Pelodiscus sinensis: one gene and its partner. The protein of the gene in region 2 interacts with the protein of the main gene of each other region in a pairwise test. Links are inferred from orthologs where the notes say so. Each region holds a gene or a part of one and is shown on either strand. Other genes may lie near its edges.

Evidence for each region.
Region 1: the proteins of FXR2 (region 2) and EWSR1 interact in a two-hybrid assay, tested with the Homo sapiens proteins (2 studies listed by BioGRID and IntAct). The link is inferred for Pelodiscus sinensis from reciprocal best matches to the Homo sapiens genes FXR2 and EWSR1.

The regions. Positions count from the first base shown.
Region 1 is NC_134725.1:5,537,513-5,548,024, reverse strand, and holds the start of EWSR1 (RNA-binding protein EWS), read right to left. Parts: upstream 5,063-10,512; 5' UTR 4,962-5,062; coding exon 4,949-4,961; intron 2,174-4,948; exon of another isoform or gene 2,153-2,173; coding exon of another isoform or gene 2,149-2,152; intron 1-2,148. UniProt on the Homo sapiens protein: Binds to ssRNA containing the consensus sequence 5'-AGGUAA-3'. Might normally function as a transcriptional repressor. EWS-fusion-proteins (EFPS) may play a role in the tumorigenic process.
Region 2 is NC_134734.1:9,202,447-9,213,316, reverse strand, and holds the start of FXR2 (RNA-binding protein FXR2), read right to left. Parts: upstream 4,460-10,870; 5' UTR 4,199-4,459; intron 1-4,198. Other genes in the region: SLC12A9 (solute carrier family 12 member 9), read left to right, coding at 8,398-8,623, 9,240-9,374, 9,960-10,091, 10,215-10,505. UniProt on the Homo sapiens protein: mRNA-binding protein that acts as a regulator of mRNAs translation and/or stability, and which is required for adult hippocampal neurogenesis. Specifically binds to AU-rich elements (AREs) in the 3'-UTR of target mRNAs.

The DNA.
Region 1 (10,512 bases), on a different chromosome or scaffold from region 2:
TATTAAGCATTTTCATTTAAAAGCAAAACCTCTTCAGCTATCTTGGATTTCCCTATTTTAATCTGTCACCTTAGGTGGCACCCAGCTACTGAAGCAGCAGCATGTTTGTTAATGCTGAAGTATAAATCTGTGTTACTAATGTAGTCATGCTAAGTGAGGACACTTAGTAGTATTCAAGGAACTTCATGGCCCAATACTCAGGAAAATGGTCTGTGAAGAGACTTATTTTTCCTGTAAGTCCGGGAAGAGCTGCTATGGTGGGTTCTACCAAGACATGTGGCCATGTCACTTGATGCTGGAATCCATCTTGGGTGCTGTTATTTTTCCACTGAAAGCAAGGACAAAGTTTAAACAAGATGACAAAGGATTTCTGCAGTTTGTAAAACCTAGAGTGGTCCCATTCAGGAAGGCTTTTCATATTAGAACAACTATGAGGGTGACATATTACATGTAACCAGTAGGGATGTGAACAGTCAAGCATAACAGTTGAGCCTTGCCATTCACCAGTAGGGGCAGGAGCAGCTCTCCTGCCTGTTGAGGGCAAGGGACTGCTCCAGCCCTGCAGGACCCACTGCAGGAAGGTGCAATCTCTGTCCATAGTGGGCGCAGCCTGGCTCTCCCCACCACACGTTTAACCAGTTAAATGGAATTTCACACCCTTAGTAACCAGTTCCTTGGCATATTAAGCTTTGTCTGCGTGTCGTGTTCTGTTTTATTTTGCTTAGTTACCTACTTTGCTTTGTTTGCTCTCTCTTATGATCACTTAAATCCTACATTTTTTTATTTAATAAATCAGTTATGTTTACTAATAAGCCCAGTGTGAATAACTCTTACTTGGAGGGACAAGGAGTCTGTGTATATCTCTTTACATTGAGAAAAGGGGCAAATTTCATGAGCTTATCCTGGACTGTCCTCTATGCAGCATAAGATGGCTGTGTCTAGACTGGCCAGTTTTTCCGGAAAATCGGCTGCTTTTCTGGAAAAACTTGCCAGCTGTCTACATTGGCTGCTTGAATTTCCACAAAAGCACGGACTTCCTACTGTAAGAAATCAGTGCTGTTCGCGGAAATACTATGCTGTTCCTGTTCCGACAAAAGTTTTGCGCAAAAGGGTCAGTGTAAACAGCTCAGATTTGTTTTCCGCAAAAAAGCCCCGATCGCAAAAATGGCGATCAGGGCTTTTTTTGCACAAAAGTGCGACTAGATTGGCCACAGACGCTTTTCCGCTAAAAGTGCTTTTGCGGAAAAGCGTCCTGCCAATCTAGACGCTCTTTTCCGAAAATGCTTTTAATGGAAAACTTTTCCGTTAAAAACAACATTTCCGGAAAATCATGCCAATCTAGACGTAGCAGATGGGTTTATCTAGGATTAAGCTCCCAGAGGGGCTGGGTATCTCAGTGCTGGAGAGAGGAATCTCACTGTGCTGTCTTCAGTTAAGGCCTGCAGTTTTGAGGGGCTTGGCCGGGACTCTGTGTGTTGCAGCATACTAGCACATCTGACTCAAGACAGGATACTGGAGGCCCAACCTGGCAGGGAAAACAGGTTCAGTGGTGTCTCAGCACATCCAAGTGCAATCCCAAAGGAGATCCCAATATAAAGGGATCCTAGTTTTCCATGATAAAAATAAGATGCTCTTTGTTAGTTTCTCAAGCCATAATGTACAGTGGAACCCTGTTTATAAGATCTGATTGGGACTGGGACCAGATCAGATAAGCAAAAATTCAGATAATCTGAAAATGTACACAGAGCCATCCAGGTATCCCATTGACAGCCTAAGCCATATGCCTGGGGCTAGCGCTTTTTGCCTGGTCTCTGAATTATCCAAACTTTTGCTTATCAAGTGTAGCCCTGAGCTCACTATACTTAAATATATTTGTATTTTTTTCATAAAATGTAAAAACTAAAGATTCTTTTTAAAAATGCAAATTTCACATTTTCTCATGGCGAATGGATTTCCGGGATCCCTCCTTATAACTTCTCAAAAGCTCTTATTTCTGTGGGACTTATGTGTTCAGTTCTCTTCTGTTTTATGAGACTCAACAATGCAATGGTATAGCACTAATGCAGCAGCTCCAGAAGAAAAACAAGCTCCTTTACTGAACAGAACAATAGGCGCATTTTTAAATATCATTTTGACAATTTCACTCACACATGTTTCTTTAGTAAATATTTTTTTCCACTGTTCATGGTGGCGTTAGAAGAACTTTCCTTTAAATGCCTTCTTTTCTTTTGAGGTGCTCCTCTCTTCAAGAGCTTGGCTTTAACTTTAAACTGAAGTGACATTGTCAATGTTGATAAGCCTGATGTTTGACCTATTTGTAACTTATAATTTTTTGCAACACTCGTGTACAATTGTATTTTCTTCAAAGAAATGCTTCATTGGTTTTCTCCAGAGGAAAAAAAAATTACCTGCCAGAAAGCAGCCATAAAAGAACTGAGTACACATGGAGGAAAGTAAATCATTAAATGGTTAATTTAAAAAAATAAATCTAACTGCTCAGTACTACAAGTTTTCTGGCAGAGCCGCATCAATTAAATATGATTTAAATAATTAAATGTATTCATATTTTGCATTTGCACTTTTCTTAAAGACCGTTTGATTCCCCAATGGGTAAATGTTAAAATATGTAGATTTGCAAGTAACTACATCTTTTACATGAAGGCTAAGTCTATGCTGGCACTTTACTGCACTATTCTGGCTCAGCTGGTGAAGAACACACACAGACACAGACACACACACCAGGGAACAGTGCTCCTCCTGGTGGAGGTGGTTTACTTAGAGCTGTGGTCACACTGCCACCTTAAAGTACTGCCACGGCCCCGCTTTAAACTTTCTAGTGTAGACAATGCCTTAATGTTGTGCTTTTTTTTTTTTTTTTTTTTTGCTAACAAGGATACATTACATCTATACATATGTAAGCAATTATCTAACAACTATTTATCAGATTACTAATTTTTTGCTGGATTGGTCAAGTGTCATTTGAATTAAATTAAAATTAAACCAGGAATGCACAAACCCAGCACTTAAACTTGTGCTAGATTAATAAAAAAAATTTAAAACATTTTGCATTTAAACTGACTAGAGAGTGAACTTATCTGATTGACTGCCCCCATCCTTCAAAATTTTAGAACTAGCAGATCCAATTATTTTACATATCATTTTTATTCAGATTAAACTTGCACTGCTTAACATTTTTTATTTTGTTGAAATATTAAATAGATTAAGGCTGACAAACGGTCAATTTCAAATATAATTTTAAATATTTATTAAACATTTAAATAAATCAGATTTAATAAAAATCAGTTTTAATTTTTTTTAGAAGCATGAATTTTTATTCAGTTTTCTAATGTTAAAGCTCTAAAAATCTCCATTTTAAACATCTTCACTGTGCTGATTTTTAAAGATAAACTGAAAGGATTAGGGTGTTCAAATCAAAGACATACTGGAGCAAAACTTTAGGCTTTTCTGATGAGTCTTTTCATAAGAGGGCTGTTGGCAAGTGAAATGCAGTATAATACTGGTATCAACACCAAGGCTATCAAACCAACAGCCATATAATGTAACAGGTCTTTAATCACAACACAATTCCTTTGTTTGATGTAGATGGATACTCCCAAATAGTAAAAACATCTTTGTCTGTACCAAGCTTTGTAAAGGTCCCAGAAAAAGTTACTCTGCCATCTATCCTATACAAAGAAACCATAATGTAGCCAGGTGTATTCATCACGGGGTCTATGATATATCTGTAGACCCAATATTAAACTACTTACCTTTTCACCCTAACCATATCCACAATAAGGCTCAGTAAATATTTACCAAAGAATTTCTGCAGGTTATTGCCTGCCTATGCCCAAAGCAGATTTTAAAATAAACTTCAAATACTGAGTGCTAATGGGAAGAGTGACTGCCCCATCCATCTTCCCTTCCCACTCTACTACAGAAATCTTAAGCAGCAGCAGCAGCTAAAACTATTTCTCCTTAAGAAACCTAGGCATTTTGCATTACACAATGATGGACGGAATGCATTACAAGACTAACAAGTAGAAACAAAAACTACAGTTCCTCCATTTTGATACACATTTCAATAGACACACTCAAAATCATTACTTTTACTACCAATACTTAATCTTATTTGTTCTATGACCACCACATAACATGCTGATTAAAAGTTGCTGATGTGCGGTTTTCAATGTGTGCTTTGCACAAGATCTTTAATCATGCAATTATGTTAAAAACAGTTATTTAGATCCTGTTTTTGCTTCAATACGATTGTAAATATTTCTATACACCCCAAAATTCAAGACAACTATTTCTAGCTCTTTGAATGTTAACATTTTGATGTAATCACTCCTTGCTCTGCCCCTCTAGGGCAATTCCTCTCATGTTAAGCCAGAGCCCTGTACATAAGCACTGTCGAGGGCCGCTGTAAGATTTTCGTGCGCTACTGTCTCTGTGCCTAAGAACATTTATGCATAAACCCGGCAGCGCTACGGACTCAGCGCCTGTGAGAAGGCCCCGGCCCCATTCTACTCCCAGCAGCAGCTCCCGGGACCGGCTGGAGCCGGGCGCGAGCAGCAGCGCGCTCTGGGCCTGGCCGCGCGCTCCCGGGACAGGGCCGGGCGGGATTCCCGCGGGCGGTGCAGCGGCCCGGCAGGAAGCGCCGCGCCCGCAGCCACGCGGGGCCCCGGCGCAGCGCCCGCCATGAGCACGCGCCCGTCCCGCCCTTCGCCGGCGCCTCCGCCATTTGCCGGCCCGGCCGGGCAGGCCCGCCCGCCGCCGGCCGTTACACAATGGCCAGCGCCGCCCCACGCGGCCCGGGAAGCTTCCAGAAGCGCCGGCCGGGCCGCGCCCCAGCCCCCCGCCGGGCGCCCTCCCCCCGGAGCTGGGGCTGGAATCGGGCCCGGCCCCCGCCCAGCGCCGCCCGGCCCGGCCCGGCCCCGTCGCTCACCCGTCGACGCCATTTTCTCGCCTTCCTCCTCGTCCTCTCAACGTCTGGTCGCTCTGCCGCGCGCTCGTGCGCATGCGCACCCTTTCCAACCTCGGCTCCTACCACTCGGCACCGGGGGGAGCTCACTACAGTTCCCTGCCGCATCCCGCTGCCCGGCGCCGCCCCCGCCAAGGAGCACACGGGGTCTGCAAGGAAAGCGAGAGCGGCCACGCAGATGCCGCTGCAGCCTTTCTCCCCTTCGGGGTGGCGAATGGTTCAGTCCATCCCAGCAAGGGAGCGTCGTTCAAGAGACGCGCTAGGGAAAGGCAGACTAGGCCTCAGCGGTGGGGGAAGGGAGCGCGGGCAGCGCGCAGCCAGGGTGCGGGGCGAGGCGTGCATGGGTCACATTGAGCTAGCCTGCAGTGCCGGGGACATGGAGCACTGGGGTGCCGCTGTGATGTCATTGCACGGTCACAGCGCGCCTCTGTGATGTCATTGCACGGTCACAGCACAGCACTGTGATGTCATTGCACGGTCACAGTGCGCCTCTGTGATGTCATTGCACGGTCACAGCGCACTGCTGTGATGTCATTGCACGGTCACAGTGCGCCTCTGTGATGTCATTGCACGGTCACAGCACAGCACTGTGATGTCATTGCACGGTCACAGCGCGCCTCTGTGATGTCATTGCACGGTCACAGCGCACCGCTGTGATGTCATTGCACGGTCACAGTGTGCCGCTGTGATGTATTGCACGGTCACAGCGCGCCGCTGTGATGTCATTGCACGGTCACAGTGCGCCGCTGTGATGTATTGCACCGTCACAGTGCGCCGCTGTGATGTATTGCATACAGCTGTGGGTAGAGCTCTGACGTCATTGTGCGGGTTTCAGTGCAATGAGCTAATGTCATGGGGGAATTATGCCATGTCCGTACCATGTTAACCGTGAAATAACACTGTGTGGGCCTTACCAGTTAAGCGGTGGCTCGACCGATGTGGGCAGAACCAGCCCACAAAATTTTGGCACTTGAGGCGGGAAGCTCAAATGACGCCCCCATGTTCCCTTGCTGCACCAGCAGCAGAAACAAGTTTCTACACCCTGGGTCCTAGTGGCGCCACCGCAGAGTCTGGCACCTGAGGAGGCCGTCTCAGCTCGCCTCACGGTAAGGCCAGCCCTGGCGTGGGCCCAGCCTAGCCCAAGTAGCCTGTGGCATTGCAGGCCCTTGGCGCTGACCAGAGCCCCCCCTCGGCCTTAGCGCTGACCAGAGAGCGACAGGCCCCCCCTCGGCCTTAGCGCTGACCAGAGAGCGACAGGCCCCCCCTCGGCCTTAGCGCTGACCAGAGAGCGACAGGCCCCCCCTCGGCCTTAGCGCTGACCAGAGCGCGACAGGCCCCCCCTCGGCCTTAGAACTGACCAGAGAGCGACAGGCCCCCCCTCGGCCCTTAGCGCTGACCAGAGAGCGACAGGCCCCCCCTCGGCCCTTAGCGCTGACCAGAGAGCGACAGGCCCCCCCTCGGCCCTTAGCGCTGACCAGAGAGCGACAGGCCCCCCCTCGGCCTTAGCGCTGACCAGAGAGCGACAGGCCCCCCCTCGGCCTTAGTGCTGACCAGAGAGCGACAGGCCCCCCCCTCGGCCTTAGCGCTGACCAGAGAGCGACAGGCCCCCCCTCGGCCTTAGCGCTGACCAGAGAGCGACAGGCCCCCCCTCGGCCTTAGCGCTGACCAGAGAGCGACAGGCCCCCCCTCGGCCTTAGCGCTGACCAGAGAGCGACAGGCCCCCCCTCGGCCCTTAGCGCTGACCAGAGAGCGACAGGCCCCCCCTCGGCCCTTAGCGCTGACCAGAGAGCGACAGGCCCCCCCTCGGCCTTAGCGCTGACCAGAGAGCGACAGGCCCCCCCTCGGCCTTAGCGCTGACCAGAGAGCGACAGGCCCCCCCTCGGCCCTTAGCGCTGACCAGAGAGCGACAGGCCCCCCCTCGGCCTTAGCGCTGACCAGAGAGCGACAGGCCCCCCCTCGGCCCTTAGCGCTGACCAGAGCGCGACAGGCCCCCCCTCGGCCTTAGCACTGACCAGAGAGCGACAGGCCCCCCCTCGGCCCTTAGCGCTGACCAGAGAGCGACAGGCCCCCCCTCGGCCCTTAGCGCTGACCAGAGAGCGACAGGCCCCCCCTCGGCCCTTAGCGCTGACCAGAGAGCGACAGGCCCCCCCTCGGCCCTTAGCGCTGACCAGAGAGCGACAGGCCCCCCCTCGGCCCTTAGCGCTGACCAGAGAGCGACAGGCCCCCCCTCGGCCTTAGCGCTGACCAGAGAGCGACAGGCCCCCCCTCGGCCTTAGCGCTGACCAGAGAGCGACAGGCCCCCCCTCGGCCTTAGCGCTGACCAGAGCGCGACAGGCCCCCCCTCGGCCTTAGAACTGACCAGAGAGCGACAGGCCCCCCCTCGGCCCTTAGCGCTGACCAGAGAGCGACAGGCCCCCCCTCGGCCCTTAGCGCTGACCAGAGAGCGACAGGCCCCCCCTCGGCCCTTAGCGCTGACCAGAGAGCGACAGGCCCCCCCTCGGCCTTAGCGCTGACCAGAGAGCGACAGGCCCCCCCTCGGCCTTAGTGCTGACCAGAGAGCGACAGGCCCCCCCCTCGGCCTTAGCGCTGACCAGAGAGCGACAGGCCCCCCCTCGGCCTTAGCGCTGACCAGAGAGCGACAGGCCCCCCCTCGGCCTTAGCGCTGACCAGAGAGCGACAGGCCCCCCCTCGGCCTTAGCGCTGACCAGAGAGCGACAGGCCCCCCCTCGGCCCTTAGCGCTGACCAGAGAGCGACAGGCCCCCCCTCGGCCCTTAGCGCTGACCAGAGAGCGACAGGCCCCCCCTCGGCCTTAGCGCTGACCAGAGAGCGACAGGCCCCCCCTCGGCCTTAGCGCTGACCAGAGAGCGACAGGCCCCCCCTCGGCCCTTAGCGCTGACCAGAGAGCGACAGGCCCCCCCTCGGCCTTAGCGCTGACCAGAGAGCGACAGGCCCCCCCTCGGCCCTTAGCGCTGACCAGAGCGCGACAGGCCCCCCCTCGGCCTTAGCACTGACCAGAGAGCGACAGGCCCCCCCTCGGCCCTTAGCGCTGACCAGAGAGCGACAGGCCCCCCCTCGGCCCTTAGCGCTGACCAGAGAGCGACAGGCCCCCCCTCGGCCCTTAGCGCTGACCAGAGAGCGACAGGCCCCCCCTCGGCCTTAGCGCTGACCAGAGAGCGACAGGCCCCCCTCGGCCTTAGCGCTGACCAGAGAGCGACAGGCCCCCCCTCGGCCCTTAGCGCTGACCAGAGAGCGACAGGCCCCCCCTCGGCCTTAGCGCTGACCAGAGAGCGACAGGCCCCCCCTCGGCCCTTAGCGCTGACCAGAGAGCGACAGGCCCCCCCTCGGCCCTTAGCGCTGACCAGAGAGCGACAGGCCCCCCCTCGGCCCTTAGCGCTGACCAGAGAGCGACAGGCCCCCCCTCGGCCTTAGCGCTGACCAGAGAGCGACAGGCCCCCCCTCGGCCTTAGCGCTGACCAGAGAGCGACAGGCCCCCCCTCGGCCCTTAGCGCTGACCAGAGAGCGACAGGCCCCTCGGCCTTAGCGCTGACCAGAGAGCGACAGGCCCCCCCTCGGCCTTAGCGCTGACCAGAGAGCGACAGGCCCCCCCTCGGCCCTTAGCGCTGACCAGAGAGCGACAGGCCCCCCCTCGGCCTTAGCGCTGACCAGAGAGCGACAGGCCCCCCCTCGGCCCTTAGCGCTGACCAGAGAGCGACAGGCCCCCCCTCGGCCCTTAGCGCTGACCAGAGAGCGACAGGCCCCCCCTCGCCCTTAGCGCTGACCAGAGAGCGACAGGCCCCCCCTCGGCCTTAGCACTGACCAGAGAGCGACAGGCCCCCCCTCGGCCCTTAGCGCTGACCAGAGAGCGACAGGCCCCCCCTCGGCCCTTAGCGCTGACCAGAGAGCGACAGGCCCCCCCTCGGCCTTAGCACTGACCAGAGAGCGACAGGCCCCCCCTCGGCCCTTAGCGCTGACCAGAGAGCGACAGGCCCCCCCTCGGCCTTAGCGCTGACCAGAGAGCGACAGGCCCCCCCTCGGCCCTTAGCACTGACCAGAGAGCGACAGGCCCCCCCTCGGCCCTTAGCGCTGACCAGAGAGCGACAGGCCCCCCCTCGGCCCTTAGCACTGACCAGAGAGCGACAGGCCCCCCCTCGGCCCTTAGCGCTGACCAGAGAGCGACAGGCCCCTCGGCCTTAGCGCTGACCAGAGAGCGACAGGCCCCCCCTCGGCCTTAGCGCTGACCAGAGAGCGACAGGCCCCCCCTCGGCCCTTAGCGCTGACCAGAGAGCGACAGGCCCCCCCTCGGCCTTAGCGCTGACCAGAGAGCGACAGGCCCCCCCTCGGCCCTTAGCGCTGACCAGAGAGCGACAGGCCCCCCCTCGGCCTTAGCGCTGACCAGAGAGCGACAGGCCCCCCCTCGGCCCTTAGCGCTGACCAGAGAGCGACAGGCCCCCCCTCGGCCCTTAGCGCTGACCAGAGAGCGACAGGCCCCCCCTCGGCCTTAGCGCTGACCAGAGAGCGACAGGCCCCCCCTCGGCCTTAGCGCTGACCAGAGAGCGACAGGCCCCCCCTCGGCCTTAGCGCTGACCAGAGAGCGACAGGCCCCCCCTCGGCCCTTAGCGCTGACCAGAGAGCGACAGGCCCCCCCTCGGCCCTTAGCGCTGACCAGAGAGCGACAGGCCCCCCCTCGGCCTTAGCGCTGACCAGAGAGCGACAGGCCCCCCCTCGGCCTTAGCGCTGACCAGAGAGCGACAGGCCCCCCCTCGGCCCTTAGCGCTGACCAGAGAGCGACAGGCCCCTCGGCCTTAGCGCTGACCAGAGAGCGACAGGCCCCCCCTCGGCCTTAGCGCTGACCAGAGAGCGACAGGCCCCCCCTCGGCCCTTAGCGCTGACCAGAGAGCGACAGGCCCCCCCTCGGCCCTTAGCGCTGACCAGAGAGCGACAGGCCCCCCCTCGGCCCTTAGCGCTGACCAGAGAGCGACAGGCCCCCCCTCGGCCCTTAGCGCTGACCAGAGAGCGACAGGCCCCCCCTCGGCCCTTAGCGCTGACCAGAGAGCGACAGGCCCCCCCTCGGCCTTAGCGCTGACCAGAGAGCGACAGGCCCCCCCTCGGCCCTTAGCGCTGACCAGAGAGCGACAGGCCCCCCCTCGGCCCTTAGCACTGACCAGAGAGCGACAGGCCCCCCCTCGGCCCTTAGCGCTGACCAGAGAGCGACAGGCCCCCCCTCGGCCTTAGCGCTGACCAGAGAGCGACAGGCCCCCCCTCGGCCTTAGCACTGACCAGAGAGCGACAGGCCCCCCCTCGGCCTTAGCGCTGACCAGAGAGCGACAGGCCCCCCCTCGGCCTTAGCACTGACCAGAGAGCGACAGGCCCCCCCTCGGCCCTTAGCGCTGACCAGAGAGCGACAGGCCCCCCCTCGGCCTTAGCACTGACCAGAGAGCGACAGGCCCCCCCTCGGCCCTTAGCGCTGACCAGAGAGCGACAGGCCCCCCCCTCGGCCCTTAGCGCTGACCAGAGAGCGACAGGCCCC
Region 2 (10,870 bases):
GATTTTACATCCCTAGTTCATTCCTTCTGGGGCACCTAGCACTGACCACGGTCAGAAGACAGGATACTGGAACTTTGGTCTGAACAAGTATGGACATTCTTATATTAAGCTCTCCTAGCTGACAGACTTCAAAGGAAGAGGCAACAGGCAACAGACAGGTTAGAATTTTTTTTTTTTTTAAATCAAAGGCCACTGAATGATCAGTCAGCCCAGAAATTTGTCGATAAAGGTGCATGAATCCTCCCTATCTTACAGCTTTTACCAAGTCCAGGTTCCATTTTTGCTAGATAAGGCCTAAGTGCTAACTGACTGTAGCTGAACTACCATCTTCATCTGTAGCCAGCAAGGCCTCTGCACTATCCACAGCCCACCTCTTTGATTATGCTCGCTCTGGTTTTGATACTCCAGTAGCCTCAGCAGAGATCAGCTGTTCTAGGCATACATTGTCCAGAATCCCAGCTTCTTCCACAAGACCATCTTCAAAGCTAAATTATAAAGCACTTCAATGAGACCAGATTTTCAGACAGCATGAAAGATTCTCCTGTTGCTGCTCTGCCACGAGGTGCCATAAGTGCAAAATTGTAAGGCTAGGCCTGCCTGGCTAATTGAGACAACTGACTCACCAACCTTAAGCACTCTAACGAAACATCAGCATATTTAAACATACACCACCAAGAGGAGCTTGCAGGAAACAAGATTGTCCACAAATACTAGCTGGATTCTTAGCCTGTTGGAAGGCAGCATGAATTCAGAATGATATAAGTGGGGGTAATAAACGTAAATAACACAGATATCAATCCTCATTCTTTGTTCTGCAATCAGCGTATGTTTGCAAAGAGGTTCTGAATCCAAGTGCAGCTGCAAAAGAAAAGATTTGGGAAATCAGGGATGAGACCCACTGCATGACCACTGTCAAGTCACCAAATCTGAGTCTGGGTTTCCCCACCTGCAAGATGGGAATCACAATCATTCCTTGCTTCTTGGTTTCAGTTATGAACAGAGAATCTTACTAGATTTGGACAGCCCCAAGCTAGCATAATAGGATCGGAGAGTACGGAGCTGAGATACTATGTTCTTTGTGGGAACAGCAGATTTCAATACAAATCTAACCACTGGCATTTCATTTTAATACCTCAAATCAGAAAGGTGACTGCATAACAATAGCATTTTTCACATGAACCCCCGGGCTCTGCCTCTGAGAATCAAGGTTCTCAAAGATATTTAGCCTGTCAAATTCCACAGACCCTTTTAAGGAACTGGACTTTAGTTCCTAGTGCTATTAACCCATCAGGCACCAGTGTCCAATACAGACACAGGAATATTCATATAGGTTCCAGCTGCAGCAGTTTTGATTCCTTGCACAGGGTCATAAATTTACACCACATTCTGAAAGATGAGTCTGCAGAGAACATGCTCAAATTTGAGTTCCCAGGCGAAGAGGGGCATCTAAGTTTTGCCTTTGGTTTAGCAGGTCACAAAGACATTTTTGGAGAATAACCAAGCTTTATGAGTTTTGATAGGGTCAGTCTTCAAAGATGAAAATAACGCAGCTTGCCAAACTTTTATCCAACCTTGTTCTGTGGCAGTAAGAGAAAGCCATTCAAGAACAAAATCTGCTTCCTTAAGGCAGCACCCTCACAGGTATTTTCAGCCATCAGGGATTATGGAGGCAATCACATGAAACCACCACAATGGCTCTAGGGCTCAGAAAGAAGCTAGGAAATATTGACTGCCCATCCTGCTCTGGCCTAAAAACTACACTTGAGAGAAAGCAAGATCTAGCAGAAAGGACAACAGAGGGAACTCAGAGACTATTCCCAGAAGCCCTGACCAGCTTGGTGTGTGAGTTGAGCAAATCCTTTCACTTCCGAGGTTGTTCTGCCTCCCCTGCTCTGTTTAGACAGGGATGGTGCACACATAGTGTACATTATGAATGCTGAACAACTGGCCCCACCATAGCATAAGTGAACATACAGAAATTTCCACTGATTTCAAGTCAGTCTAAGAAGAATATGACCTCAGATTTGTAGAAGGGGCTACAAATCACGCTATTCCTCTCCCCATGAAACAAGAGAACTCAAATCCTTGGCCCATTCACAAAGAATAGAGTGGGATGCAATCTGATCACATTAAGGGATCTTGCATCAGATACTAATATGTAGCACTTGTCACAGCATCAACTTGATTAGGCATTAGAAATTGGAGGGATGGGTTCTGCTATTCAAGTGACTTCAGTCCCATACAAGGCACATCCAGCTGCCTGTGGAGTTCTGGCAGAGAAGAGCTGAAACAAACATCTGGCTGATTCGGAGAGTACTGCAGCCTTTCTTTTCCTTGGACACAATAAAGGTTAGGATCACTGTAACCTGACTGGCCAGTGGCACGATTTGAACCCTCCCAGATTTTTGTTAAGGAAGGGAGCTCTGAGCCCTGCAATAGCTGGATTTAGGAGGCAGGGCTGGGCTTGAGAGACAATGTGAGAAGGAGCACTGAGGAGGAGTTCCTGTGGGAAAATGAAGGGATCTGTGAAATAATTGTGCTTGTAGTTCTAGAAGAGAGGCAACATGGGAAAGTGGATATGGAAAAGGAGAGTCCGATGCAAAAACTACAATGAAGAAGCAAAACTTCTAAGAGGTCCAGAGAAAAAGGAGGAAAAAATTGGAGTGTGTGTGTGGGGACAAACGGGTTTATGTAGAACTTAGAGACAAGGGGGAGGAAGGCACAGTGCACCACAGGCTAAACTGGGGTTCCCACAGCCATGCTGCATTCTCTCCATGTTTTGACGCCCACCTGAATCAGGGCCCTTAAGGATGCCCATTTAGCTCAGTGACTCTCCACCATTAGGAGGACCTCCAATCCCCAGTGACTCAGTAACAAAAACTGCATGGGATCCCTATGAGAGGAAAACCTCAATGCTAAGGAAGGGGAGAGTTCTGTGTGCCCATCCCATAGGTCCTTACTGAGCCATGCAGGGTCCTAAGTCCTTCAGTCATGCTCCAACACCTTCCCTATTCCCTCCCACTCCTCCCCACAACACAGACACACACCATCCACATGTTTACCCACATAGTCCTTCCCCCTCTCTCTCCAAGCTGCTATTAACACCTCAAGGCCCTTTGCTTCAGAGCCCGCAGCCACCTGACCCCCTCAGTTACTTACACCCCTAGACTTCCCACTTTTGCCCAGATCCTTCCAATTTTATTCCCCCCTCAAATCTTACTCTTAAGCCCCATCCACTTACCTGCTTCTCACTATGGTCTCCATATTGACAGCTGTAGTTTCCATTCTCCCTGCTGTCAGTTACTCTTTCAGGTGATCGCAAACCCAGCCTCTTCTCCCATAATGCCCCTCACCCAACAGTTATCCTCCAGTCACCCCACATCTTACCTCCAGCCCCACCCCAGGACCCCAGTAGTCCACCCCTTTCTCTAAACCTTCCCAATTCCCTGTTCCATCTAAAAACCCCTAAGCCTCTCCCACCACGTGGCTTGCACGCCACTGTTCCCCCAGTTACTTTCCCACCATCTCCTCATCATACCCAAAATTAACTTCCCTAACCGGCCCTCAACAATTCATTCACTTACCCATGCCTTGTCTTACCTCCCCACCTTCCTTCACCCCATCACACATCCACTCCCAAACACCCCACTACCTCCTCGCCATTCACCCCATCATACATCCTCCCTACACACTCCACTGCCACCCAATCCTCTGTGATCTCCCCTCCCGCCACACAGGAATACCCCTGCCCCCCTCACTAGACACCCTCCCCCGCCTCCCATTCCAACCACCAGCTCCTCTATGACCTGCCTTCCCTCTTTCCCCCACTCTCCACTATCCCCTCCCTCTAACGGCCCTCCACACGCCTTTCTGACCTTCCTCTCCCTGGGGCCTGCCTCGCCCTGCCACCCTCCCCCCTCCCACAAAACACTCCCCCCAAAGACCCCCCCACCTGTATGACCTCTTCCCACCCGGGGCCTTCCCCACCCTCTCCAATCTTACACCCTCACCAGACACCCTCCCCAAAACCCTTTACAGTCTCCCCCACCCATTCATATACCTCCTCTCCCTCATTTGCCAGTAGCATCTCCCCCAACGGCCCCCATCCTTGTGCAACCCCCTCCCCACACCGAGGCCTGCCCACCAGTCTCGTACTCCCGCCAGACACTCAACCCTCCACTCAACCCCGCGCGCTGACCTTGTAGAAGGCGCCGTTGGAGCCGCGAAGCTCCACGGGCAGCCCCTCCATGGGCCCGGCCACCGCCGCCCCGCCGGGGAGGGGCCCAGGCCCCGGGAGCCGCCCGGCGCCGCGGGGGGGGGAGGAGGCAGCGCCGCAGGGTCTGGCCCGGGGGGGGATGGGAGGCGCCGCGGCCCGCTCCCGCTCCCGCTCCGGCTCCGCCACCGTGAGGCAGGGACCGACCCGCCGCCGCCGCTACCGCCTCACACCGCGCGCGCGGCCCCTCCCCCTTCGCGCGCGTACACCGCGCAGGCGCGGCCGGGAGGGGCGGGGCACGCGCGCGCGCCGCTCCACCAATCGCCGAGCGCCAGCCCAGGTCCGCTGGCCAATGGAAGAACGCAACTCTACTACCAACCAATCGCGACCAGCGTGGCTAAGCTAGGCGCGTGCTCAAGCCCCACCTCCCAACGAGAAGACGTCGGGTTCGCCAAGGACGCGCGCCCGCCCCGCCCCTCTGCCAGGACACCCAATCGGTGGGCCTCCCTGCTCCCGCTGACCAATCAGCATGCCCCCGCTTCTTTCCCACCTACACCGGCAACCAACCCTGGCCCCGCCCCGCTCCCAAACCAAGAAACGCCCAGCGTTTGGCCCGTACCCAATCACGGGCCGGGACCCGCCCCCAACCGCGCGGCTTCCGCGCTCCGAATTGGCTGCACTGCGAGATCAATCAAATGGGGCAGCTGGGGCCCCAGGCCCTGCCCCCGGCATTCTACGGCCTAGGAACATGGTGGGAAAGGGGAAAATATCCCACAGTTCCCTGGGCCTCTAGCCCCTCCGTATTCCATAATCCCCAGGGGCCTCCGAGCCCCCCAACTTCCCAGTCTCCTTAGACCCTCATCCCGCAGTCCTCTAGGGCTCTGTGGGCTTCCCTGGTATCCCACAATCTCCCAGTACCACCCCCATGTCCCACAATCCCTGAGCGCCCCGCCCCGGTCATCCAAGGCCTGAATGATTCCATATGCTGAGTGCATCAGGTGCGAGGGGGTGGATTCTATGGTTCCATTGGGGCGTTCTGGCTGCATGTGGGAGGTGTGAGAGACCAGTCTCTATGGTTCCAATGAGGACGCCTTAGCAGCACTTACTTGGTGGGTGTGGGACGACGGACTCTATGATTCTGACTGATCCTTGTTAGGTGAAATGTGCTTCATAAAATTCAGCTGAAGGTCTGAAAAATGTCACCCCAAATAATTACATTTGGGCAAAATTACAGGGAACCGAAAACGGTCTCATGGTGAGTGACCATAACTGCACTATCCGGATTCTCATTCACTGACCATTTTGAAATCAAGGACTGTTTTTCTGAACGACCAGCTGTAGAAAGTACTGAGGGGAACGTCTCCAGCCTGCACTGTACAGCACGGAGCACACTGGGGATCCACCCTGGTGGGTGTCCAGGCATCGTGAGGAGACACTAGGATAGAGCTCTGCAGTAGGTGGTGCTATTGATCCCTGCTGGCCTGGGGATCTAGGAGTGAGAGAATAGCTTGGAAACATGACAGGAGTGCCCCCTGCAGGCTCACAAGTACAGTCAGGCCAGAAAAGGCAGGCAAAAACAAGCAAAGAGGATTTGGTCTCAGTGGGAAAATTTTGATTTTCGGAAGATATTTGAATACTGAGAAATCTACCTATCCCCATGTCTACCCATCTAACCCCATATACTTCCCTCTATCCATCCATCTGTTCCCCTCACCACTGCTCTCTCTATCCAGCCCTATGACCACAAGGGTCCCTTTAGGCTTGCCCGCTTCCCAGGATTTCCAATAAGGTTCTCTAGCCCAGCATCCTGCCTTACAACAGTGGCCAGCACAGGAGGCCCCACAGGGTCCCAGCCTCTGGCACTAAGCAGCTTGGGGCTAGGCTGGCTCAGGAGAGATTTGGGATTGTGAGGTCTGGAGCCTGGATCTTTCCCAGCACCATGTTCAGATACTGCTCAGCTCAACACCACAACCTGCCACATGGGGCTGAGCTTTCCAGGGCAGAAGGATGGTAAATGACATGGCTACATACACAGGAGCAGGAATGTTGGTGGGGTACAGTGGGGCAGGACTGAGGTGCACCAGCAGGCCTGGGGAGGGGTGACTGGGTATCGTTGCCTCGACCCATCAGCCACAGTCAGTCAAATTGATCTGAGGTGCTGAGGTCGGGTCAGGGTCCCACTATCAGGGTCACTGTATGGCCTCCTGGGTGCCACAAATATCCCTCCCCACAGGACCACAGGCTGGGTCAGAAACCAGCCCCTGTGTCTGTGTGTATTGTGTGTATGTGTGCACAGCACAGTGCATGTGTACCGGGCAAGTGTGTGTATATATAGTACTCTGTGTGTAGCAAGAAAGCGTGTATGTACACAGTACTGTGTGTGGGTACTGAGCATGTATGCATGTACACAGTAATGTGTGTAACACACAAGTGTGTGTTTGTGTACCAAGAAAGTGTGTATGTTTATTTACACAGCACTGTGCATGTGTACCAGGAAAGTGTCTGTGTGTGTGTTTACACAGTGGTGTGTACCGTATGTTTGTTATGTACCCAATGCTCTGTACCAGTAAACTGGAAAAGCGTGTGTGTGTGTGTGTGTACAGAGAAAATGTGTGTGTACAGGGGTGATAGCAGAGAGTGTGCATGGGGGGGCACAGGCTGGATGTGGGGATGGGAGGAAGGAAGCAGGACAGGAGAAGAAAGAGCTCTGTGTGTGTGTGAGAGAGAGAGAGGCAGAGATGGGAAGAAGGAAGGAGAGAGGAGGAGAAGGATGGATGTATATGAGGACGAATGCAGGGATGGAAGGGAGGAGGAAGAGCTGGAGGAGGACACTGTGGAGGGGGGGCAGGATCTGAGCTCACAGACGCCCATTAAGTCACACCCGGGGGCGGGAGTGGAAGGGGGGGGGCTCGTCACATGAGCAGCCTGTGACCCAGCCGCCGGTTCAGGAGAGCACTGCATGGAGCTAGGGGAGGGACCCGGCCACCTCCCCCCCCTCCCCATCGACCCCACCCCAGAGCATCCCCAACTAAAGGTTTGTGCATCTCCGGGCTGGGAGCCAGGACGCCTGGGTTCTCTTCCCAGCTCTGGGAGAAGAGTGGGAGCTGGCGGTTCAGGACTCCTGTTTCTCTTTCTGGCCTATGGAGAGGAGTGGGGGCTGGTGAGTTGGAGCGGGGGCTGGGAGCCAGGACTCCTGGGTTCCTCTCTCCCCAGCGCTGTGAAGGGGGTGGGTCTGGTGGCCAGGAAATCCATTTAATCTCCTCCATTCAGCTACCTTCCACCTGGGGGCTAAGGCCCGCCCTCCTAGGAACGCGCCGGCTTAAATGATCCTCTCCCAGCATAAGCTCCTTCTTCCTTGTCTCCTCCCTGAGTCCTCGGGGGCAGCCTGACGCACAGCCTACAGCCGGTGAGCTTCCGCCCTCCAGAAGTTTGCCCCCACCCCCACCCATTTACCCTAGAAGAGAAACCAGGAACAGGGGTGTCCTCCCCATCTCTGGGGGTGGGGGGCTGAATTTGGAGGATCCACGCCCATTGGGTGTCTCCTGAATTTGGTTTGCTCTTTCCTGCATCTGACTTGGATTAATTTTTCTCCTCGTTGATTGCTCCCAAACCGGGCTGACTTTAAAGGTTCATACCCCAGTTTTTAAGTTGCTTCAGAGAGAGCTTTTAAACAAGAGTGTGCATTTCCTGTCTCCATTTAATCATAAGAATCTAGCCTGGTATTTTTTAAGAGTTCAAACCCACTTTCTTAGCTGTCTTTTGAAGTTTCCCAGCCATCTGCTTTGTGCATCAAAACACAGATAAATTTTTCTACCTGTTAAATAAAGCACCTGGGGAGGTTTGTATGGTACAAACCCAATTTTCTCTCCTTATTTCAAAGGCAGATCTACAGTGGGATTCAGAGCATGCTTGTGCATTGCAGCAGGACTGAAGTCTTTTCCTTTTAATCTCTGCAATTTTAAGGCTGGCATTCCCAGCCCTGTGCAGTATGGCAGACTAGACCATGTAACTGGTGTTTGTAGAATTTCAGGCCAAAGGGGAGATGATCTAGCTAGATTTTGGGGTGAGGGATTGCAGGGGTGCCTGAGGAGGGGCATGGGAGCTGGGGAGGAGAACTAGGGAGAAGAGGGGTTTTGCCAATAATGCCTCCTTCCCCTCTCCCAGGGTGACCAGGCCCCCCTGCCATGTCCACTGAGAGCTCCCCTCTGTTGAGCTACCGGCTCTTCAGCGTGGTGGACGAGGGGGAGATGCCAAGCAGCCGGGCCCAAGAGGAGGCACCCCTCGTGGGTGGGGGCATAGGCCCCCTGGGCCCCCCACAGCCTGACCCGGCCCGACGGCTCTCCACTTTCTTTGGCGTCGTGGTGCCCACAGTGTTGTCCATGTTCAGCATCGTTGTCTTCATGCGTGTGGGTGAGTGACTCTACCCTGCTGATTAGTGCATGGTTATTGGCAAAAGCCCTCTTCTCCCTCCTCAACTCCCCCCCCCCCCCAAAGGAAACTTCTCTGCCTCCCATAGGATTCTCTCCCTCCATCCCCTGCCCACATTGTGTGCTGCCCTTAAGAATAGCAGGAAACCTCCGTCCCCATCCCCACTGATGCATGCTTGATTTCCGGCCAAAATCATGTGGTGGGCTAATGGGGGCTTGGCCCATACTTACCCCTTGCTGCCTCCAACCCAGCTGGCTGTTCAGCTTCTTGTCACAATTAGCAACTGATTCATCCGGGTTGGTTGTGCATACATTCCATCGACATCATAAGGCATGGAATTCCCTAGATCACTGGTGCCTGCATACTTGTACCTTATGGGCACTGAAAGCCAATTCCTTATTGTAATTAGTGGCTTACTAAAGGTGAGCACCATTAAACAGGAGAGGTTCGTGCTTAACCGGGATGTGGGCCCTAAGGCCATGTGGATGGGCCCAATCCTGGAAGCTATATAGAGGGCAGAATTCTGGGCTTGCCCTCCGTCCAGTTCTGCCAATGCCCCTCCCTTCTTACCTGCAGCTCCCTATCTGTCATCTCTTAGGTTTCGTGGTGGGACATGCTGGGTTCCTGCAGTCGCTGCTTATGCTGGTGGTAGCCTATGTCATCATTTTACTGACCGTCCTGTCTGTCTGTGCCATCTGCACTAATGGTGCCATCCAAGGGGGTGGGGCATATTGTATCCTTCCGCCAGCGGGCTGGTACATGGTGTGCGGGGTGGCCAGAATTACAGCCAGTTCGTTGGCTCCTCTCAACACCCTCCTATGGGTAAGGGGGGGGGGCTGTGTGCCTCAGTGTGGGATGGGGTGATTCCAGGTGGGGGACCAGGCCTCTGCAAGGGAGAGGGGGTCAGCTAGAAGTAGCCGAGGGGCCCTCTAGAAAATTGGGGGCTAGGGGTATGTAGGCTGTGTTGGTTGGATGAGGGCAATGTGATTACAGAGGGGGTCTTTGGGGTGAACACTGGGATGCGGGGATGTATAGAAGGCCGTCTCTGGGGGGATGGGGAGTAAAACTCAAGGGGGCTAGATCTGAGGGGAATGTATGAGGGTTTGGGGAGATCTGTTTATGTTCGGAGTCTTTGGGGGCAGACATTAGGATGTGGAGGAGGAGAGATGGGGGGCAGGACATTGGCTGTGGAGCCAGGTAGGGATTGTCTCAATGGGGGAGAAGAGACTGACTATAGCTCTGTCTGTGGGCAGTGGTAGTGGCAGCAATTCTCTCTTCCTCCCCCCCCATGGCGTTTCCTTGACAACTGCCCCCCCAGTCATGATCTCGCGGACGCTGGGCCCCGAGTTTGGGGGCAGCATCGGGCTCATGTTCTACTTGGCCAACGTCTGCGCCTGTGGGGTTTACGTGCTGGGGCTGGTGGAGGCTGTGCTGGACGTCTTTGGGGCAGGTGAGCCCAGACGCCGGGGTGCCTCCCCAGAGGGCTGGTGGATTAGAGCGGGGGGGCTGGGAGTTAGGACTCCGGGTTCTCCTCTGCCCTAATGGTCATTCCTGTCCTTCCCATCCCCTCCAGATGGGACAGATCCCCCCGGCGCCCATGCCCTGCCCCAGGGCTATTTCTACAGCTTCCTGTATGGCTCACTCGTGCTACTGCTCTGTTTGCTGGTCTGCCTGGTGGGTGCCCGCATCTATGCCCGTGCTGCCTTCCTCATCTTCCTGGTGGTGAACCTGGTGCTGCTGGCCATCTTCCTCAGCTTCTTCGTGGTGGGGCCCCGCCCGGTGCCCGTGGCCCGTGATGTCAACCACACCTTCAACACCAGCTTCACCGGCTTCCGCCTCGACACCCTGCGTGCCAACCTGCATGGTCAGCAGGGGCAGGGCACAGGGGGATTCTGGGGTGGGGGAAGGAGCAGCTCAGATGGAGGAGGGGCCCAAGATGTTGAAGGGAGGGGGGATGGCAGGGGGTAGGAGGGAGAGGGATACAAGGGGGTGTGGAGGGACAGAATGGGTTTGGGGGCTGTCGAGAGATGGAGTGGGGCAAGTCTGGGATGGGGAAGCAGAGGGGAAAGGGGGGCATAGGCTGGGGTGGTAGCCATGTGCCCTCCTCTACATGCCATCAGCTGGAGAAAGCAAACACTGGAGGATGGTGGAGGGAGGGAGCTGACATGGAGCTGTTGCTGGAGGAGGGATCATGAGATATGGGGGGCTTGGGACCTAGGAGGGGGTCCT